Elephas maximus indicus: one gene and its partner. The protein of the gene in region 2 interacts with the protein of the main gene of each other region in a biochemical or structural test. Links are inferred from orthologs where the notes say so. Each region holds a gene or a part of one and is shown on either strand. Other genes may lie near its edges.

Evidence for each region. The genes of interacting proteins can lie anywhere in the genome.
Region 1: the proteins of INSR (region 2) and GRB10 form a complex in vitro, tested with the Homo sapiens proteins (5 studies listed by BioGRID and IntAct). The link is inferred for Elephas maximus indicus from reciprocal best matches to the Homo sapiens genes INSR and GRB10.

Annotation. Positions count from the first base shown.
Region 1 is NC_064826.1:112,568,894-112,573,126, reverse strand, and holds the start of GRB10 (growth factor receptor-bound protein 10), read right to left. Parts: upstream 3,006-4,233; 5' UTR 2,698-3,005; intron 1-2,697.
Region 2 is NC_064821.1:11,906,663-11,910,895, forward strand, and holds the start of INSR (insulin receptor), read right to left. Parts: upstream 2,870-4,233; 5' UTR 2,859-2,869; coding exon 2,759-2,858; intron 1-2,758. UniProt on the Homo sapiens protein: Receptor tyrosine kinase which mediates the pleiotropic actions of insulin.

The DNA.
Region 1 (4,233 bases), on a different chromosome or scaffold from region 2:
ACACAGAGCCGGTTGCTGTGACTGAGCCAGGGCTGCCATGGGTTCCAATCCTGGTGGCTCCCATCAGACCACAAAGCCCTGGCTAAGTAACTGACATGAATCTGCCCAGCTCCCGGGTTCCTAGTCCACAAAATGGCAAGTGTTTTGACCAGTCAAACACTACCACAAAAGCAATGCAGCAAACCACGAGTGATACCCAACAGGTGACTTTAGGGGTACACAACTCGCAAAAAACGTAACTATCATATTAAACCCATGACTTCATGAATATCAAAGGTTCTTCTTAAAATAAACACCTACTTAAGTACGTGAGGCATTTTGATTAGTGGCAGAATTCTTGCCTTCCATGCAGGAGGCCCGAATTCGATTCCTGGCTAGTACACTTCAGGCACAGTCACTACCTGTCAGTAGAGCCTTGCGTACTGCTATGGTGTTGAACAGATTTCAGTGGAGCTTCCAGACTAAAGATGGAGTAGGAAGAAAGGCCTGGCGACCTACTTCCAAAATCAGCCAATGAATACCCTACGGATCACAACGGTCCAATCCACAACTTGATCATGGAGAAGGAGCAGGACCAAGCTGCGTTTTGTTCCCATTTGCATGAGTCAGGAGCCAACTGAAAGGCAGCTAACAACTTTTAAGTATACAATGTGAATGGGCTAAAAAAAAATATTGACGGCAGCATGGCAATAGGGCAGAAATCTTGAATGCTTGGTGCCGGGGGCTAAACAAGGGTCACAGGTCCTCCTAGTTGTCCGTGTGACTGAGGGGTGTGCCTCCTCCCTGCTGCCATCACCCTTTTTGAGAGGATGTACTTGTGCAGAAGTATAAAACACACAGGACTAAAAAGAATTCAAGGCTTAGGCTCAGGTACAGCTCTGCCATTTGCTGTTTGGGGACCTTGGGCATACCCGTTAACCTCCTGAGCCTTGGTTTCCACATCTGTAAAATGGGGATCAGGAAGCTGTAGAAGGATTAAAAGCAGCAAGGCTTTTGAAAGTGCCTTGTAAACTGAAATGCTACAGCAGTGTCAGTCGCTACACTTCTCAGTTACACAGGCAATGCTGCTGGGTGTGTGACTTGGTCTGTCCTCAAATCCCCTCCCTGTAATCTAGGGATTGGCCTGTGTGGCCCCTTCTTTCAAATGCTCCTGGTAAAACTCAAACAGTATGTGCAGTAATCCTAGAGTTTTGATTTTTAACAGAACTACTAAGACACCTAGAAGCATTCCTGGAGATACATTTGGTTTCATGGCTTTGACAGAACAACACACTCCCCTAAAAGACATTTCACCGTTGCCACAGACCAGAATTTCTTCTTGCAGAAACCTAGCTCCCACCTATTTTTCCTCCAAGAAAGAAAAGATGAAACTCTTGGTCAAGACTTGGGAAAACTGACTAGCACTGTGGCCCACACCTCGGTCAGTGCTGTGCTGCAGCGCTGACATGTGTTCCTCCTGGTAAAAACTGAGCGAAACGTTAAATACGGCACCGCTTCTGAAACTCAGGAGCTCCAAACGGCTGAATCAGCATTTTCAGAAACAAAGTGTTCTGGGCCTGGCCTTTTAAACAGCAGCAAAGAGAAAGTTGTGCAATAATGCATATTTACTCAAGAGCGCTACTTATTTGGGTTCTTTTCTTTGCATCTCTTGAATGAAACGGGGTACTACATTTGCAGGAAAACATTTCTTAAATGTATCCTAAAGATTCAGGGCCGTGTAAAAGTCACCTGTGGCTCCTCTACATTACCCAAGGTTTCAGTCAAAGCAAACAACAAAAATGTAGCGTTTCTTCCAATCCCGAAAAAAGAAAAGCCGCATAAAAAGTAAATACCCTAATTTCCATAACGCACATGCTTGAGTACCGTCACCAGGCAGGCGTTTGGAGAGGCAATCAGAAAAGGCAGAGCATTGCATCAGAAATTTCCTTCTGCAAACGGTATCGCTCTTATCACATTTCCACGGCTGGCGCGGCGGCTAATCCGCGAGCCCTCAACTTGATGTTAGGCCCAGAAGGGGGTAACGGGGTGACTAACAAAGCCAAAAAAAAAAAAAAAAAAAAATTCCCCGCGGGCCGGAGTCCCAGGCCGCGCAGCGCTCTGGACTTGGGAGTGCCCGTGCACCGCTGACCCCGCGGCTGGCCAGGCCACGAGCGTCGCGGCCCCCACCTCAGTTGGAAGGAGGGGGCTGCAGAAGCGCCCCGCGGCTAGCCCTCCCCGAGCCCGGGGCAGCCCCCCGGGAGCGCGGCCTCGGCCCCCACCCCCACCGCGAGTGCAGCTAGCGTCTGACAAGATGGTTCAAGAATGCACCGTTTGCGCTCAACACCTCCCCCAAGGGGTCGCGAAGGGAGTCGGGAGAGAGCCCCGGGCGAAGCGCCCGGCCGGCTCCAAGCGCGCTCGCTCGCATCCCGAGTCCCCGCCTCTTGGTGCCTCCAGCCTCGGGCCCGGGGCGGCTGAGCCCCCCGCCCGGAGGCGACGCCCTTCCGCCCCGCCCGCGCCTCCCGGGGTGCCCGCCGGCTCTGGCCGCTGCCGGCGAGCGCGCAGACAATGCCGGCGACCGGCCGCTCCCGGCGAACCGGGCCCGGCAGGCCGGCCGGCGAGCCCGGCCCCTCCCGCGGAGGACACCAAGCGACAAAGTAACTTCCCCGCAGCGCTCCCCGCCCAAGTCAGCGGCGCGCGGCCGGCGGGGCCGCTCCATACCTGCTGCGGGCGCCGTTCCCCGGCCGCCTCCGCGTGGCCGCGGGCGACACTCCCGCCCGGTCGGACGCCGCGCTGGGTCTCCCCGCGGGGACTGAGAGAGGCGCGCAGGACCGTCACCCGGTCGGGACCCGCGCCGGCGCCGCGCCGAAGGACTGCGCGAAAACTTTGGCTCCGCCGCCGCCGCCGGTCCTGCGTGGTCACCGCCTGGTCTCCCAGAGCCGTGCCCGACCCCTGCCCGCCCGCGGCGCGCACTCGCCGTCCAGCCGGCCGCCTCCCGGCCCGCCGCGCCTCCAGCTCCTTTGCCTTCCTTCCTCCGTGCCTGCCTTCCCCGCCCCCCCCAATGGGCTTTAAACTCTTCCAGCCCCGCCCGCCCCTCCTCCGCCTCCTCCGCCTCCGCCTCCTCCCCCGGCCGCCTTTCCTGCTCCTCCTCCCGCCACCGCCGCAGCCCGGACCGCTGGGCAGCCGCCACGGCGGGAGGAGCTGTGGCCTCGGCCCGGGCGTGACGCGCAGGGCGTCGGGGCAGAGTAAGGCAGGGGCCTCGGCGGAGCATCCCCCGGGCGGCGCCGGCGGCGTCTGCGCGGCCCGTGCCTGAGGCGAGCGAGGAGGGACAGGCAGCCGTGGATGAGCCCCGGAACCCCCTCCCCCTGCTGCCCTAGGGCCGGGGCGGACGCGGGAACCGAGAGCTAATGAGAGATCGGAACTATTTCAAAAGGCAGTTTGTAAGTGAATGTTTGAAACTCAGGAGTATTAACGATCCAGTCCAAATTCTTCATCTTGGGCGAGTCCAAAATTCTTCATCAGGACGAGACAGATAAATTGCAGCTGCCCGTACTCTGTCGTGGGGATGGCGGTCCCCGGGCCAGGAAAAGGAAACCTGGGTTTCCAGTGTCAGTCATAGTCAGTGGGTTTGCGGCTTTTGCCACTCTGGGCCTCAGTTTCCCATCTGCAAGTGAGTATCAGAGTGGTGATAGAGTGGGAAGACCAGAATATTTCCTTAATGTCGCTTAGCCTGTGTCCTTATCTTTGAAATGGGCTAATAAGAACACAGGCCTCAGAGTCATGGGGGTTAAATGAGGTCATACCCATAACATAAAGTCACTGGCAGGAATGAACCCCCGCGTTGATGGAAACTATTGTCGTTAATATGATTACTTATGTCTATGCTGTCAAAATTATAATACAAAGAGGAAAATAATAATATGTCTTTTTTGGGCCTTAATGTTGTTTTTTAAAAAGCTACAACAGTAACTTACTTTTATTGAACACATACTTTGTGCCAGCACTCATTCATTCTTTCATTCAGTCTGCACCCTGGCCCTCTAAGGTTGTTACTGGGAGCTACCCACTTCACAGACTTGGACACTGAGTCTTGGAGGTACTAAATAATTTGCCAAAGTCCAGGTAGCTGGTAAGTGGCAGAGAAAGAATTCAATGCCATTTACCAGGCCAAAGCACTTTTGAAAACCCATTGTTATCTCATGGTGACCCCATGTGTGTCAGAATAGAAACGTGCTGCATAGGGTTTTTCAGTGACTG
Region 2 (4,233 bases):
CGGAGAAGAACTGCCTGATAGAGTTTCCAAGGAGCAGCTGGTGGATTTGAACTGCCGACCTTTTGGTTGGCAGTGGAGCTCTTTACCACTGCACCACCAGGGCGCCCCTCATCTGCAAAAAGGGATAATAATAGGCCCTACAACTAGCAGCCAAAAGGTTGACAGTTCAAAACCACTCAGAGGTACCACAGAAGACAGGTCTGGCGATCTGCTTCCAAAATGTCACAGCCTTGAAAATCCTGTGGAGCAGTTCTACTCTGCACACATGGAGTCACCATGAGTCGAAATCGAATGGAAGGCAACTAACAACAACAACAACAACAACTTCCCGAGGATGAACTCAGGTTATATACGCACAGCACAGAGAACAGCGCCTGCTAAGTGTCCGCTCTTACTGTTAAGTATTATCTGGCGAACAAGCAGCTCCTTCGGAGGCTCTGTTCCTAGCCCCATTCAAAAAGAAACATTTACTGAACACCTACTGTATGCCAAAGGAGTCCTGCTGGTGTAACGGTTAAGCACTCAACTGCTAACGGAAAGGTTGATGGTTTGAAGCCACCCAGCAGCTCCACAGGAGAAGAGATTTGGCACTCTACTCCGGTAAAGATTACAGCCTAGAAAACCCTACAGGGCAGTTCTACTCTTTCACACGGGGTCGCTATGAGTTAAAATGGATTGGACAGCACCTAACAACCACAGCCATGTGCAAGGCACTGTTCTAGGCTCTGGAAATGTTAACAGTGAACAAAACAGACAAAAAGCCCCTGACCTCATGGAAGCTGTAAATACAGAAAAACCCAAAAACCAAACCCAGTGCCATCGAGTTGATTCCGACTCATAGCGACCCTATGGGACAGAGTAGAACTGCCCCATAGAGTTTCCAAGGAGCGCCTGGCGGATTCGAATTGGCGTCCCTTTGGTTAGCAGCCGTAGCACTTAACCACTACACCACCAGGGTTTCCGTAAATACAGAAAGCAGCAGTAAATCTGAGGCCTGGAAGCCCAGGCACAGATCCACAATTAATTACCAAAGCTAGATGGAACAGAAGCGCGAGGAGCCACACACACACACAAGCGTGCCCAGGCAGAAGTACACACTCATACTCGTGCACATACAAGAAGCCGGGCACAGGTCTAATCACTCGTCTTGGGTTTTCCTAATGAGAACCCAAACCAACTGCGACTCTTCGCAGTCTACCTGGTAGACCTGATGCCTACCAGGTACTCAGGGTCTCGGAGAAACCAAGTGGCACAGCCACTCAGCAAACTTGGTTTGTTACCTTCAAAGCTTATGCTTTCTCATCTACCTCGTTTACATCAGGGAACTCAGGAGCTTCTATGACTTCCCTCTCTAACCCCTTCCCCACCCATGATCTATTTCCTTTTATGGAGATAGGTGAAGAAGTAACCCAACAGATATGTTTAAAGCAGAGCTTTAGACCCCATGGTGGGAAATCCCAATTATATCAGTCCCGGCCCACAAGCAGAGCAAGGAGGATGCTGGGGTAGGGGTTTAGGGCAGCCCATGGGGCCAGGGGGAGTGTGAGGCTCATTAAGGCCAGAGACACTCCCAGGGCTAACAGGGAAAGAACCCTCATGAAGGGTGAAGCTGAGGGGTGGGAAGGGTTTAGGGGACCTAGGGCGAGGGATTGCAAACCAGAGCCTTGACCTGGAATCCCACTGACAGAGGTTCAAGTCCCAGCTCTGGCACTGACTTTGGAGCAGGTGAGTTCTGTGAGCTATCTGAGCCTCAGGTTACGCCTCTGTGAAATGGGGGAATAGCACTATCAGCCTCCAGGGGCCACTGTGAGGGTCCAGAGAAATAAGATGGACCAACCCCAGGCATACAGTGATACTATTTATAACAACCATGATGTATGCCACCCCTAGTTGTTACTACAACGGCTGCAGGTGTTGCCACGGTGCTAGAGTTTGGCTCAGGATATCTGGAAGCAGGACACAAATGTGTAAACGCGGACCGTAGTGGTGGTCACCAGCTTAATCCCAAGGAAATCGGAGTTGTTGTTATGTGCCCTTGAATTGATTTCAACTCATAGCGACCCTATAGGACAGAGTAGAACTGCCCCATAGGGTTTACAAGGCTGTAATCTCTACCGAAGCAGACGGCCACATCTTTCTCCCGCGGAGAGGCTGGTGGGTTCAAACCGCCAACCTTTCTGGTTACCAGGGAGCGCTTAACCACTGCACGACCAGGGCTTCTTGGGAGTCGACGAGGGGTCTACAATTCCCCACCCAGGGGCAGCGCCACCCAGCAGCGGGAACCCCAAAGAACACCGCCCCCCCCCCCAAGTCCGGCACTATCTGCGTTGCATCCAACCGTGTGTGCACGCCAGGCAGGCATTGGGCTGTCGGAGGCCGCCCGAACCTTAGGATCCGACTTCCCAGAGGCGACCCAGCGAGGACGCGTGCCCCGCCTCGGGAGCGCGTCGGGACCGGGGGAAGGGGGAGTGGGGATGGAGGAGCAGGAGTGGGTCCGAGCGCACTCAGGAGAGGCGCCCGCCGCGGGGCGGGCACTGGGGCAAGGTTCCTCGGCCCGGGGCAGGCGCGCGGGGAGCCGAGCCGCGAGCCCGAGCGGGCAAAGGCCAAGGTCAGCGGCCTCCCGCCCCCCGCGAGGTCGACGCGACCGTCCGGGCCACCCGCTCCCGGGCGGGCCCTCGCGCCCTAGCGGGGACTTCATTTGAACAGCGGGGTGCCGTCGGCCGCGATGTCCCCGCCCACCCCCGCGCCCCAGACTCACCTTCTCCAGGGTACAGGTGGCCGGCGGCGCCCACCAACAGCGCGGCCACGGCCACCAGCAGCGGCGCGGCCGCCGCCCCCCGCTGGCCCCCGGAGCCCATGACTGCGGGAGCGCGGGGTCCCAGCAGCTCAGAGCGCGCGGCGCCCAACCGCGAGGGTCATGCTCCGAGCGGCCGCCCGCCCGGGAGGCGCCGGTGGCCGCGCGTCCTCCTCCTCCGCCCGGGAGGGCCCCAGCAACGGCCCGGGAGGGGCGCGCGGCCTCGGCGCCACCAACACAGCGGCGCGGCCCGGCCCCGGCTCGCGGTCCCTGGGCCCGGAGCCCGCGCTGCGCCCCGGCTCCCGGCTGGCGGTCCCGCGCGCCCTCGGCCGCAGGCGGTGGACGCACCGACAGACGGACACTTGGACGGACTGACGGGCGCGCGGCGGCGGCACCTGGGCTGGCGGGCGGCTGGCGGGCGGCGGGCGCGAGGCTGTTCGGCCCGTAAACAACGCGGCCCGTCAGCTGGGCCCCGCGCGGACCGCGGGAAAAGGCGGCGCGGATCACGCCTCGGAAGGGACTCGGCGCCGGGGAGGCAGGCAGAGTGGAGGGGGGCGGAGGGAGGGAGGGGGCGGGGGGAGGGAGGGAGGCCCCGCCCCATCCCGCCCCGCCCCCTCCCCCCGCCCGGCCGGGCTCTGGAGGCCCCCGGGGCTCCCCAGACCGCGCCAGCGGCTCGTGTCCCGGAGCGTGAGGCCGCCCTGGCCGCCCCAGCGAGACACATCTTTGTCTTTCTTGTGCACTTCGGTATTTTGTTCATAGTGCATTTTTTGTTGTTGTTCGTTGGAATTTTTTGTTAATACTGCATTTAGATATTATTTATCTTGGTTACTTGGGTTTGGAGCACGTCCTTAAATTTTGTAGACGAGCGGAGCGCCTCACTCACCTCACCCTAGTCCCAGCCTAGAGCGCGCCAGCCACTCCGATCTCCCCCTCCCCCGAGTCGGGGTGCCCTGGACTCCCCGTCTAGGGGCGGGAGCCACGCCGGGCCTCTGGGGACAGTCACATGCCCGGCGCCCTGTGTGTGCCGCGCGCTTCGTAGTTGTAGTTGGAGAAATGGCGTCTAGGAGAATGTTTCGGAATATCCTGACAGAACAGACCAGGCCCTTGGAGATCCTGGGCTGGGGGTAGGTGGACACGCCTGATTTTCAGTATGCAGACCTGGGGTTCATCTAGGAGTCCTGGCTGGTGTAAACGCTTAAGCGCTGAACTACCAACCAAATGGTTGGCGCTTCAAACCCACCCAGAAGTTCCTCGGAAGAAAGGCCTGGAGATCCACTTCCGGCGGTCACAGCCTTGAAAGCCCTGTGGAGCACAGTTCTACTCTGGCACACATAGGGTCACCATGAGTTGGAATTGACTCCACACACCAACTAACAAAAACAACGGAGTTCATATGTGTCTGAATGCGCAGTGATGCCATTTGTGAATAGGGCTAGACA